Anolis sagrei: one gene and its partner. The protein of the gene in region 1 interacts with the protein of each later gene in a biochemical or structural test. Links are inferred from orthologs where the notes say so. Each region holds a gene or a part of one and is shown on either strand. Other genes may lie near its edges.

What was found.
Region 2: the proteins of GADD45A (region 1) and EEF1A1 form a complex in vitro, tested with the Homo sapiens proteins (2 studies listed by BioGRID). The link is inferred for Anolis sagrei from reciprocal best matches to the Homo sapiens genes GADD45A and EEF1A1.

What each region holds. Positions count from the first base shown.
Region 1 is NC_090024.1:164,764,255-164,771,424, forward strand, and holds the start of GADD45A (growth arrest and DNA damage-inducible protein GADD45 alpha), read right to left. Parts: upstream 3,001-7,170; 5' UTR 2,982-3,000; coding exon 2,773-2,981; intron 1,678-2,772; coding exon 1,576-1,677; intron 1-1,575. UniProt on the Homo sapiens protein: In T-cells, functions as a regulator of p38 MAPKs by inhibiting p88 phosphorylation and activity.
Region 2 is NC_090021.1:111,736,003-111,743,123, reverse strand, and holds the start of EEF1A1 (elongation factor 1-alpha 1), read right to left. Parts: upstream 3,016-7,121; 5' UTR 2,913-3,015; intron 1,647-2,912; 5' UTR 1,601-1,646; coding exon 1,457-1,600; intron 264-1,456; coding exon 84-263; intron 1-83. UniProt on the Homo sapiens protein: Translation elongation factor that catalyzes the GTP-dependent binding of aminoacyl-tRNA (aa-tRNA) to the A-site of ribosomes during the elongation phase of protein synthesis.

The DNA of each region.
Region 1 (7,170 bases):
ACCTCTGAGTGTGCCTACCATAGATGCAGGTGAAACGTCAGGAGATAATGCTTCTGGAACATGGCCATACAGCCTGAAAAACTTACAACAACCCAGTTCTCACATGGGCTCGCACAAAGACACAACCCATAGTCAATGGGAAATGGTTGTTGGTTTGCTTCAAAGTGGAATCCAGTGAGGATTATTATTATTATTATTATTATTATTATTATTATTCAAAAGAGGATCTGATTATGTTTGAGCACTAAGAAAAAAGCCACATTTTCAAAAGTGCCAATCCCATTGCCAGGCTTGCATTGCGAGTCAAAGAGAGACAGGGGGGGTGTAGCTGCACTGGCAAACTAATGCAGTTTGACATCACTTTATCTGCCATGGCTGAATGCAATGGGATGCCGGGAGTTGTAGTTTGACGAGACAACAGCACTCTTTGCCACAGAAGGATAAAGACCTTGTAAAACTATAATTCCTATGATTCCATAGCATTGGGCCACAGGAGTTAAAAATGGTGTCAAACTGCATTAACTCTGTGTTGCCGAAGGATTTAATGGCTGGAATCACTGGGTTGCTGTGAGTTTTTTCTGGCCATGTTACAGAAGCATTCTCTCCTGACATTTCACCCACATCTATGGCAGGCATCCTCAGAGCTTGTGAGGTCTGTTGGAAATTAGGAAAATGAGGTTTATATATCTGTGTGATGTCCAGGGTGGGAGAAAGAACTCTTTTCTGCTTAATGCAAGTGTGAATGTTGCAGTTGGCCACCCTGATTAGCATTGAATGGCCTTGCAGCTTTAAATACTGGCTGGTTGCTGTCTGGGGGAATCCTTTGTTGGGAGGTGTTGGGAAGCTGCAAAGCCACTCAATGCTAATCAGGGTGGCCAATTGCAACATTCACACTTGCCTCAAGCAGACTAGAGTTCTTTCTCCCACCCTCACAACCTCTGAGGTGTCTGCCATAGATGTGGGTGAAATGTCAGGAGAGAATGCTTCTGCAACAACAGCCTGGAAAACTTAACGCAACTCTGCAGGAATTCTTCTGAAAAATTGTCCATAAACAAATTCACACACACAGACTTGATGACCAAACATTGGTGTGGTTATGACCACTTAACTAGAGATCTCTGGATTTTTTTTCTATTTGGCCCATATAAACGAAATATCCAACTTAAGTGGAAAGCAAAAGTAGACTCCATGTATCAGGAGAAAGGTGGGATAAACATAAATAAAATAAGAGATATACCAACAATCCCAGAAGCTGAATATAAGTGGGATGACCTGATCCTTATCATCATCATGTGATGTGAGTTTTCCAGGCTGTATGGCCATGTCACAGAAGCATTCTCTCCTGATGTTTCACCCACATCTATGACAGTTATCCTCAGAGGTCTATATATCTGTGGAATGTCCAGGGTGGGAGAAAGAACTGCCATAGATGTGGGTGCAATGTCAGGAGAGAATGCTTCTGGAACATGGCCATACAGCCCGGAAAACTCACAGCAATCCGGATATGAAAGCTTCAACAACACATTGTCATTACTGTCAATCAATCAATCAATCAGGCAACAGAGGGTCACTTACACATTGAGCAGCTTGGCTGCCTCATACACGCCGACTGTGATGGTTCTCTGAGTCAGGGCTTTGCTTAGGACTTCTTCCAAGGCGTCTCCTACTTTCTCCATGCTGACGGAAAAGTCCCCAAAAAAGAAGGAGGGAGAAAAAAAAGTCAGCCAAAAAAAGAAGTTACACCACAAAGGAAAAAAAAACCCATACGCCGCCGTCCTGGCCTTCAAGCTGACCTCCAGCCCATCCCAGACATGCAAAACATAGACTTTTTTAAAAAAATGCCATTAATCCAAAGGGAAGAAGCAGCGTCTCTGGAGAAACCGCAGTCCTTGATCTTCTCACGTGGAGAGACAGGCAAGAGACAGCCCAACACTTTATGGGAAATGGGTTCCTTTTAAGTGTCAGCAAAGGTGGTGCAATGCAAGGAGGGCTTTTTTTTTAATAAAAGAGGAGCTTTTGAAGCAATCCTAACACTTTGCAGATAAATAAGGAGCTGTTAGTCACTTGGGGCTTAGCCAGGTATGGCTTTGGAAGGGAATGATCATGCCAAAAGGGGAAAAAATCCCAAAAATCTTCCACATCCTGAGTTTTCTGCCCCTCACACTGAAAAAACAACATCTAAATTGCATCCTGAGGACCTTTGAAGCAATCCTAACACTTTGCAGATAAATAAGGAGCTGTTAGTAAATTGGGGCTTAGCCAGGTATGACTTTTGAAGGGAATGATCCTGTCAAGAGGGGGGAAATCCCACAAAAATCCCTGACTTTCCTGCCCCTCACATTGAAAAAACATCTAAATTGCATCCCCCCTCACGCAGCACTATTGCATTGTGCAATGCAATGGTGCTGAATGGGGGAGGATGCAATTTAGTGCAATGCAATTTGGGGGGAAAATCCTAATACTTTGCAGATCAATAAGGATCTGTCAGTAACTTCAGCAATCCATGGGTTGTTGTGAGGAGGATTGATCTTGTCAGGAGGAAATTCAAAAGGAAATTGCACGAATCATCACAATATAATGTAGTTATTATTATTATTATTATTATTATATATGCCACCCCGTTCTCTTTTCTGCCCTACACCCCACACTGTATTTCTCCCCTTCAGGCACTTTTGCAGAAGACAAGGCAGAATGCAACCTTTGAGAGAGAGAGAGAGCTCTAAAAAGTCCTGCTTCTCCTTCCCTTCCCAGAACTCCCTTTCCTTGAAGTACCTTCCCAGTGCTTGGTGCTCCCCCGCCAGCTCTTCCAGAGTCATGTTGCAGCCTCGCGCCACTTGCCACCAAGCCAGAGAGGCCGCCTCTCCCTCCGGAGCCCAAAGCCGGTCTGAGGGACAAAGGGCTCCCCGGGCTGGAGTTATCCTGCCAACCCCGCAGCCAATCGCCGCGCGGCTCGTTTGCATGCGGACACCCGATTGGGCCATGCAAATGAGCCACCGCGCTCCGCTTGACACCCCCCCCCCCCCCGCAACCCTTTCCCCTCGCCCGTCCTGCGTATCGTGTCCTCGGCTCCCTTCGGCTGGGAGAACGGGCTCAGTCACTTTCCCCGGCCGCCTCCGCCGCCGCTGATTGGAGGAAAGCGTTCGGAGGGGCGGGGCTTATTGAAAGAGAGAGAGAGAGAGTTGTGGATGGTTCTCCCCCTCTCTCTTTTTTCTCTTTCTCTCTCCCCCTCTCTTTCACTCACTTTTTTCTTTCTCACTCCCCCCTCTTTTGTTTCTCTCTCTTCCTCTTTCTCTCAGTTTCTCTCACTCCCTCTCTTTCTCTCCCTTTTTCTTTCTTTCTTCCTCATTCCCTCCTGTTTTTTCTCCCTCCCTGTTTCCCTTTCTCTCTTTTCTTTCTCTCTCCCATTCCCTCTTTTTCCCTCCCTTATTTCTCTGGCCTTTCCCCCTTCCCTCCTTTTTTCTCTTTTTCCCTTTCCTCTCCTTCCTCCTCCTTTTCCCTCTCTTTCTCCATCCCTCTTTCCCCTTTTCTCATTTTTCTTTCTCTCTCCCCCAACCTCATTTTCCCTCTCTATTTCTCTTGTCCCTCCCTCCTTTTCTCTCTCTTTCCCTTTTCTCTCACTCCCTCCTTTCCCTCTCTTTCTCTCCCTCTTTCTTTCTTCCTCATCCCCTCCTGTTTCTTTCTCCTTCCCTCTTTCCCTTTCTCTTTTCTTTCTCTCTCCCCTTCCCTCCTTTTCCCTCCCTTATTTCTCTGGTCTTTTCCCCTTCCCTCATTTTCTCTCTCTTTCCCTTTTCTTTCTTTCCCCCTCTTTTTTCCTTTCTTTCTACATGCCTCTTCCCCCTTCTCTCATTTTTCTTTCTCTCTCCCCTAACCTCATTTTCCCTCTCTATTTCTCTTACCCCTCTCCCATCCCTCCTTTATCTCTCTCTTTTTCTCTCTTTCCTCCCTCTCCCCCCTCTTTCATCCCCTCTTTCTTTCTTCCTCATTCCCTCCTGTTTCTCTTTATTTCTCCATCCCTCTTTACCTTTCTCTCTTTTCTTTCTCTCCCCCTTCCCTCCTTTTCCCTCTCTATTTCTCTTGCCCCTCTCCCCTCCCTCCTTTTCTCTCTCCCTTTCTCTCTCTCATTCCCCCTCTCTCCCTCTTTCTCTCCCTTTTCTTTTTCTTCCTCATTCCCACCTGTTTTTCTTTCTCCCTCCCTCTTTCCCTTTCTCTCATTTTTCTTTCTCTCCCCTTCCCTCATTTTCCCTCTCTATTTCTCTTGCCCTTCTCCCCTCCCTCCTTCTCTCTCTCCCCTTTTCTCTCAGTTTCTCTCTCCTCTCTCTCTTCCTTTTCTTTCTTTCTTCCTCATTCCCTCTTGTTTCTTTTTCTTCCTCCATCCCCCTTTCCCTTTCTCTCATTTTTCTTTCTCCCCCTTCCCTCCTTTCCCCTCTCTTATTTCTCTTGCCCCTCTCCCCCTACCTTCTTTTCTCTCTCTCTCTCTTTCTCCCCTCATCTCTCCTCCTCTCTCCCTTTCTTTCTTTCTTTCTTTCTTTCTTTCTTTCTTTCTTTCTTTCTTTTTCATTCCCTCCTGTTACTCTTTTTTCTCCATCCCTCTTTTCCTTTCTATCTCTTTTCTTTCTCTCTCCCCTTCCCTCCTTTTCCCTCTCTATTTCTCTTGCCCCTCTCCCCTCCCTCCTTTTCTCTCTCTTTCCTCCTCACTTTTGCTCCCTCCCTCCCTATCTCTTTTTCTCTCCCACTCCCTCCCTCTCTATTCCTCTATCCTCCTCTCTCTCTCTTTCTCTCCATCCCTTTTTTCCTCTCTTTCTCTCTCTTTCTGTGGTTCTCCTGCTTCAGCTGTTTTTTTCCTTGTTAGTGTACATTTTTCCCCTCCTCTTTGTTTAGAGAAAAGGGGGCAGGGATTTGACCCTAAGCTTCTGTTTGCAGGCCTCATGCTTTTTGCAGATCACCCCTTACAATAAATAGTTGTTAGTAAGCAGGTTATAAAAGCCAAAGGAGAGCTGACACTTTGCAGTCGGTTTGTTTTTTTAACTCAGTCACTGCCCGACGCTTCTTGGAGGGATGATACGTCTACTATATAGATTTAATGCACTTTAATTGACACCAATTGCCATCTCTCTTGGGATTTGTAATCTGGAGAAGCACTAGCACCCTTTGGGCCAAATAAAGAGCATTTATTTATTTATCATACCAGTAGCGAATTGAGGGTACAGTTGTACAAACTAATACCCATACCCCAATAAAGACCTTGTAAAACTACAAATCCCATGATCCCACAGCATTGAGTCCTGACAGTTAAAGTGGTGTCAAAGTGCAGATTAATTCTAGATGCACCCTTAGTTTGCAAACCGCAGTTGACTCCTATTCTATTTTACTATTGACCACAACCAAGGTCCTAGGTGCTGCATTGTTATAGACTAGTTATGGGCAAACTTGGGACCTACAGGATGTTTTGGACTTCAACTCCCACAATTCCTTAAGCAGTTGAGGGGGGAAAGTAAGAGACCTGAGGCTGTTAGCAATTGTGGGAGTTGAAGTCCAAAACACCTGGAGGGTCCAAGTTTGCCCATGCCTGTTATAGACTGTTATGGGTATTATTACGTAGATGAGATGTAGCTACTTGCATGATGGGAATTTCAAGACAAGTTTGTTTGTTTTTTTCATGTCAGGAGCGACTTGAGAAACTGCAAGTCGTTTCTGGTATGAGAGAATCGACTGTCACACCAGATAGGGGACACCCAGATGATTGATGCTTTTACCATCCTTGTGGGGAGCTTCTCTCATGACCCCACAGCTGGAGTTGACAGAGGGAGCTCAATCTGCTCTTCCTAGATTTGAACCGCTGACCTATCGGTCAGCAGTCCTGCTGGCACAAGGGTTTAAACCATTGCCTCACTGGGGAACAAGTGTAGAGTTTTAATTCATTTTAATATTTTAATGTTGAATGGTTTCAACAGCGAAATGGTTTATTTCCCATTAAAAATATTTTATTGCCTTTGCATTGTTTTAATGTGCATTTTTTTGTCGTGTCAGGGGCGACTTGAGAAACTGCAAGTCGCTTCTGGTGTAAGAGAATTGGCCGTCTGCAAGGACGTTGCTCAGGGGATGCCCAGATGTTTTGATGTTTTATCATCCTTGTGGGATGCTTCTCTCATGTCCCCACATGAGGAGCTGGAGCTGATAGAGGGAGCTCATCTGCGCTCTCCCCGAATTCAAAACCGTGACCTGTCGGTCTTCAGTCCTGCCGGCACATTGTTTTCTATTTATTGTTAGATGCCTATATCAAGTGAGAGTATAGGAGCCCCCAGTGATGCAGTGGGTTAAACCCTTGTGCCGGCAGAAGTGAAGACCCAACAGGTCAGAGATTCGAATCTGGGGAGAACGTCGATGAGCTCCCTCTGTCAGCTCCAGCTCCCCATGCAGGAACATGAGAGAAGGTGAAACATCAAAACATCCGGGCATCCCATGAGCAACATCCTTGCAGACGGCCAATTCTCTCACACCAGAAGCGACATGCAGTTTCTCATTTAAAAAAAAGATGAAAGTATAATATTTTTTTAAAAAAACAATACATTAGGTGTTTATGTTGCAGAACCTGTGTGAGAGAGAGAAGTCTCTTTGTATTACAAGGGCTGTACACAGTGACCTTAGGGGATACAGGTCTTTGGGAAATCATCATTTGGTCTGCAGACAGTAATCTCAAGGGGAATCTCTCCTTTAGCAGATGCTTGACATGTCTGTAAACGCAGACCTTTGTGGTACTTTTCCTGGTCTCCCACTCTGTGGTTTTGTTTTTTTAACTACAGGCCTTCAGCTATGCAAGGAAAGTTGTTGTGTTTTTTAATGATTTGTCAACAAGTCTTTTCAAATGCCTTTTTTCCACCTGGAGAATAACAACGGCTCGACTAAGAGCTGGGGTTTTTTTTAATTTTTGCAGAAAGAAATCTAGATGTACATCTGTGCCAGGCCTGGGCAAACTTCGGCCCTCCAGGTGTTTTGGACTCCAACTCCCACAATTCCTAGCAGCCGGTAGGCTGCTAGGAATTGTGGGAGTTGGAGTCCAAAACACCTGGAGGGCCGAAGTTTGCCCAGGCCTGATCTATACTGTAGAATTAATGCAACTTGACACCACTTTAACTGCAGTGGTTGAATGCGATAGTATCACAAGAGTTGTAG
Region 2 (7,121 bases), on another chromosome or scaffold:
GAAAAGACAGTAATAAATTGAATGTATTTTCTCAACACAGGTAAATCTTACTCTAGATTCCCAAAACACCATAATCTGCTTACCTGGGAGGTTCCAGTAATCATGTTCTTGATGAAGTCTCTGTGTCCAGGGGCATCAATGATAGTGACATAGTATTTGCTTGTTTCAAACTTCCAGAGTGAAATGTCAATAGTGATACCACGTTCACGTTCCGCTTTCAGTTTGTCCAACACCCAGGCATACTTGAAGGAGCCTTTGCCCATCTGTTTATTGAACAAGAAAAAGGCAATTAGATTAACACATCTTACAGAGAAGTTAACTGTTGCCAGAAAGAACTTGCTCAAGACGTCAAGCATCAAACACACTGAAATGTAATACACACATTACTATATTTAGCACAGTTTGGCAGAGGCAGTGTGAGATTCCAAATCTGTTTTGCTTACTTAACCCAGTGACACTTAATACAGTGCTGAACTGTTTAATTACTTAACAGCTACTTCAAAGCTTACAGATGTAACAGCCAAATAACTGACAAGATACATGGCACATTCACTGGCTCCTCCATATATTTTCTATGTCCATTTAACTTGTGAATTCTGCTAAGCATCCCATTCTAAACTAAAGCCAGAAGATTATTATATTTATGTAGCCCGGCAGGTTTTTAGGACCCCAACTACCAGAAGCCCTAGTCAGGTTGTCCCTTAGTCCAGAATTCTGGCACCTGGAGGACTACAAGACTGACATAGATACACAAAACATCTCGTGGTGCATTTTTAAAATTACACATTTTAGATGTTTACCATTTACAATTTACCACAATAAATGAACTCCTTAAATACAAGCAGAAGAGACTTGGGAAATCAAGTATACTGGTTGCATTGTAGTAGAGATTAAATAGTGTAGCTATAATGTAAGATCTGAGAGGCCCCATCTACAATGACCATTTAATGCCATTTTGATTACAGAAATCAGCCTGGGGCCTGGCGATTACCACAAACCAGTGATGTGTATAAAGGGCTTCCTTTTGTGTACTTTTCTGAGCGTTTCTTGCCTGGCTACCACAAGCCCCTACTACACTGCTATATAAAATCCATTATCTGCTTTAATAATGATTTATTGCATCACCACCACCCCATTACAGACTCAGGGCAGCTGCTTTGAAATGGATTATATGGCAGTGTAGAAGGGACCACAGTTTGAAGGGAACTGGCAAGGGTAGGTGGGGCCCTAGACTAATTTTCCCTTGAAACCTAGGGAACAGTCCTCTTAAACTACACAGGTTCACATCAATGTAGCCTTACATTCTCATCCTTTTTTATTCCATTTAATTTTTTTACATAAAGCACCAACATTTAATAAATTTAATATCAGAAAAATTAAAAGAAAAATTATAATTGATCAAAAATCCCTTGTTTTGATGTTAGACTGGAAATTACACCAGGGGTGCCATACCCACCTCAGCAGCTTCCTTCTCAAACTTCTCAATGGTCCTCTTGTCGATCCCACCACATTTGTAGATCAGGTGACCAGTGGTGGTGGACTTGCCAGAGTCGACATGCCCGATGACCACAATGTTGATGTGGGTCTTTTCCTTTCCCATTTTGGCAGATGAATAAGGTGGTTCTCGCCCGCTTCAGATAAAAAACCTTTTGTTTTTTGGGGGGATAAATAAAAAATCATTTAAAATTAAAATTAAAAGAGATCAGAGCCTGCTAATTAACAATACGCAAAAAGGCAAAATATTTATCTACTGCAGTGGTTCTCAACCTGTGGGTCCCCAGGTATTTTGGCCTACAACTCCCAGAAATCCCAGCCAGTTTACTAGCTGTTAAGATTTCTGGGAGTTGTAGGCCAAAATACCTGGGGACCCACAGGTTGAGAACCATTGCGTTAGAGGAAAGCGCGCAGGCAGATGCTGTTTGAGGTGTAGGCCTGAGCTAGGCCCGAAGCCTGCCTCGAGTTGCTCAACTCCACCCACCGCTCCAAGGTGGCGGCAGTGAGGAGGAGGAGGGGCGTTGCGTCAGCGGGGCGGAAACCCAAGCTCCCCCCACTCTTCCTCACCGAAGTCTTTCGCGTGTCGTCGTGGCCGCAAGAGTTTAAAAAGGCCCAGTTAATAAGGGGTTGAGGCAGAGAAAGAGGAAAAACTGAGCGAGGGCGGCTCGAGACTCCCTTTGTGTGCGAAGCCGCGCATGCGCACTCAAGGGCCCGGCTCGCGCTCGCTTCCTCCCTCCCTCCTTCTCCCTCCGGCCGGCACGCGCCCCGCCCGCGCGCCCTCCATTTTGTGGCAGCGACAGCCGCCGCCATTTTTTCCCCACAGCGAAGCGAGAGAAGGCAAAAGGCTTCTTCCCAGAGAACGAGAGAGAGGCAGGGCGAGAGGGAGTGCGGCATCAGTGGCTCCCCATGGAAAGGCGCCCCAATTACTCTGTGTAGTGATTACACACACAGAGTAATAGAAAAGAACGCTGAGTTGAATATGCAACAACGAGGGCGTCAGGAACGCAATTACAACGAAGGCCAGCCAATACAACCACACAAAAGGGGAGTGGGGATTGACGAGATGAGGAGCAGAAACAAAGCGTCGCGCTATCCTCAAAACGACAGCATTTCAATCCGAAATTGAGACACGTGTTTGCCAAGCTCGACACGGAAAAGCAAGACACGCGTTCCCGAAAAAGCTTTCCCCAAGCCCCCATTCCTTCCCAATCCCTCTCACAAGCCCCCATTCCCTCCCGACCCCTCTCACATACACGTAACGTGTGTACGCGCTGACACGCGTGTCCCATCCCCTCCCCCCACAAGTCCCCTCCCTTTCAGGCGTCGAACGCCATTGTCCCCGATGGAAACACGTGGGCCCCGCCCGGCCTAGGCCCAGGCCTCCTCCCCTTCCCGCAACACACGTGGCAGAGACTCACCTCCGAAGCAGCGGCAAACCCGTAGCGAAAAAGACCGAAGCGGTGAGCGGCGCCCTTTATATAGCTTGTGCCGAGGGGGCGGGGCTTGTAGGGCAGACGTCACGCCTCCCAGAGTTCCATTCGGCGCTCCGGGCTCCCTCCTCTCCTCCCGGCTCCCTGCCTCGCCCTGGACTACCCCTCCCACCGAGCACTCCCTCCAAGGGAGAGGGGGGAAATTCCCCCTTTGTGACGAAAGCGCGCTCTTTCTCTCCCCCTCCCCTCCCTCCGCCGCCTTGACAATCCTCGCCTGTGACGTCACGCGCGCCACCCTTCTGCCGCACAAATTTCCTGATAGTTTGTAGACGTTCCCTTTAGAGGCGAAGAATGAGCTGAGTGAGAGCAGTGGGGCTTCAACCACTTTCGCCCTTTGCCTTTCTCTGCCCTCGGCCATGTCCTCTCTCTCTCTCTCCTCCTCCTCCTTTCCCTCCCAGCTTCTAAACATTTTATCCTCTCGTCCTCTTTAAGGATCCTTCTTCATCCCATACTGAATCAATTAATTTATTTATCATACTGCATTTGGGGTGTTTAGGATGAAGAGGGATCCTTAAAGGAGAAGATGTGATATTTCAAGCAAGTGGCAGCAACAGTTGAGATCTTCCCATTTCCACCATGGGAGTCATCCTTTTTTGTGCCCCTCACTATACTCATCCATCCAGTCATTTATGCATACATACATATTTATATATGAAACTCATATTTTTGTGCCCCTCACTATACTAATCAATTCATTCACTTTACATATTCATATATGAAAGTCATCTTTTTTGTGCCTCTCACTATACTCATCCATTCATTTATACATAGTCATATATGACATTCCTCAGCATCACACTAAACTTCACTCTTCAATTTTCTGTGTCAAACCCCTTCTCCCAAATTAATTGGGATTCTAGATCTGTTTGACAAATAAAGCTGCCCAAAATGGCACTCTCAGTGTTACCTGATGAGATACAAACTTTCACTTAATTGGTGTTCCATGAGATATACTTTTTTCTTCTTTTTAAATTCTCCCTCCTTCCCTTTTTGTGTGTATACACACACACAGAGATTCTTGCTTATCCAACCTTTGTTCATCCAACGTTCTGTATTATCCAACGTATTCTGCTTCCCATCCGGATCCACAGCTGTTTCAATACATTGCGATGTTTTGGTGCTAAATTCCTAAATACAGTAATTACTACATAACATTACCATATATTGAACTGCTTTTTCTGTGGATTGGTTGTAAAACATGATGTTTTGGCGCTTAATTTGTAAAATCATAACGTAATTTGACATTTAATAGGATTTCCCTTAATCCCTCCTTATTATCCAACATTTTTGCTTATCCAATGTTCTGCTGGTCTGTTTATGTTGAATAAGTGAGACTCTACTGTATATACACACGCACGTACACATACACACATACTTGCAAAGATATGTTGGATAATGCATTTCTAAAAACTGCAGAGGAAAATCAGCCTGTGTTTTAAATATTAGTAGCTTGGTAGCTGGCATTGTCCGGGTTATTTGAAAAGACTATTTTTTAATTGTACAAAATACATAAGGTAGTGGGTAAACTACAACTCACATTATGCCAGGTTAACCCCAAAAGCTCCATCAGTACTTAAAAGTTTGTTATGTTGGGCAAGTTTCTTCTAGGACAGTGGTTCTCATCCTATGGGTCCCCAGGTGTTGTTTTTTTTGGGGGGGGGAGGGGGGTTGGTGGCCTACAACTCCCAGAAATCCCAGCCAGTTTACCAGCTGTTAGGATTTCTGGGAGTTGAAGGCCAAAACATCTGGGGACCCACAGGTTGAGAACCACTGGTCTAGATGCATCATTGATGGGGTTCAATTCGCTCTCTGGCTGTAGGGTAAACTACAACTCCTACTATGGTGAGTCAGTCCCCTAAAACCCCTCCAGTAGGTTGTGTTAGTCATGGGGCTTTGAGCACCAAGTTTGGTCGAGGTCCCTCATTAGTGGAAGTCACAGTTTCTCTGGTTGTGGGTGATCTACAACTTCCAGAAAGGAATGCCAACTCCCCCAAACCCCTCCAATAATCATATTTCCGCATATCAGGTCTGTGTGCCTAGTTTGGTCCAGATCAATCGATGTTTGGGTTTACAGTGCTCTCTCGATGTAGGCGAACTACAACTCCCCCAAATCAAGGTAAATTTCTCCCAAATACCTCCAGTATTTTTTGCTGGTCATGGGGGCTCTGTGTGCCAAGCTTGGTTTAATTACATCTTTAATGGAGTTTGAAGTGTTTGTTGATAGCAGGTGTACTATACATCCCAGTACCTACAACTCCAAAATGTCAAGGCTAATTCCCCTCAAAACCCACCAGTATTCAAATTTTGACATATCAGGTATGCATGCCAAGTTTGGTCCAGATCCATCGCTATTTAGGTTCATAGTGCGCTCTGGATGTAGGTGAACTACAACTCCTATAAATTGCTCCAAGTCCAGTATGTTTTGTTGGTCATGGGGGTTCTATGTGCCAAGTTAGTTCCAGGTCCATAGTTGCTGGAGTTCAGAGTGCTCTTAGGGTGCAGGTGAACTATACATCCCAGTACCTACAGCTTCTATAAATAATAGTGAATTCTCCCCAAACCTCTCTGATCAATTCCTCTGCTTCTGTGTGCTAGAGAAAAGAATAGGAAAGGGTTAAGGGAGAGGCAGTGGGTGGGGTCATGCAAATTCCACACTAATGGAAAGAGTCAGAAATACTGGGATGCCTGTGGTGGAGGAAAAACAGAAACTCTAGGGTGAAAATGTACCCATATGAAAGCTTTCACTTGGGTGGTGGGCAGGCTTGTGTTTGTGGAAGACACTGACAGGGCTCGTGGTAGGCCCGTAGCCAGGATTTCATTTCGGGGGGGGGGGGGGGCTGATTTTTTTTCAGGGGGGGTTTTGGGGGGGGGCTGATTTTCGGGGGGGGGCTGAGTCTGAGTGAAAGAGGGTCTAGCCTAGCAAACCTTTTGTATCATTACCCCAATATCCCCATGCATATGGGATATATTGAGTATGGTGATCAGATCATGATATGAATAAACATAACAGTTTAAATAATGCACCAATAAGGCCTTTTCGCGAACCACCATGAAAATTTCGGGGGGGGGGGGGGGCTGAAGCCCCCCGAGCCCCCCCCCCCCCCCCCCCCGGCTACATGCCTGGCTCTTGGGCATGTTCATGGTGCTCTCTATAACCTTCAATGTCACTGGAGGGAGGGCCATTTGTGTCTCCTGAGCAGTGGGAGCTATAGCTGTTTGTGGAGGCAGGAGCTTGTCTCTGTAAGTGGACACCCTAGCCACATACACACATATATATTATGTGGATGGATAGATAGGTAGATAGATAGATAGATAGATAGATAGATAGATAGATAGATAGAAAGATAGATGATAGCAAACCTATGAATGTGATTTTTTCCCCCAAAATTATACATCTCTCTTAAGGCTGCAACATTTTATTGTCCTGCTCTATTCTCATTCTGTCCATGTGGACAGAATGTGGACAAACAGAGAGTGCATCTATATTGTAGAATTAATCTAGTTTGACACCATTTTAACTGCCATAGCTGAACGCTAAGGAAGCGTGGAAGTTGTAGTTTGGTGAGGCATCAGCATTCATTGGCAGAGAAGGTGAAAGACCTTGTAAAGCTACAAAACCCATGAACCCATGGCACTGAACGGTGTCAAACTGGATTAATTCTACAATGTAGAGGGCCCAGAGTGGTTTCCAGTTGCCAGAAAGGTCAGGTAAAACCGCCTTTTATCACTTTTATGCTGAATATATCCTACCTAAAACAGGAGGAAAGAGGAGTGAACACTGAAGGAATATCAACAATTTAAGATATGCAGATGACACTATACCACTATGCAGGGGGGGGGAAAGACTCGGAAGGGTTATAGAATAAAGTCACGAAGGGAAGTGTAAAGGATTGGGCAGCTTCATAAATTAATAAAAATTATGACTGCAGATTATTTACATAACTTTCAAGTAGACAATCAATACATTAGCCTCTTTTACACTGTCATATAATCTAGATTATCAAAGCAGATGATTCACATTATCTGCTTTAAACTGGATTATATGAATCTACACTGCCATATAATCCAGTTCCAAGTAGATAATGTGGATTTTATATGGTGGTGTAGAAGGGCCCTAGAAGGGGTCTCAATGCAAGT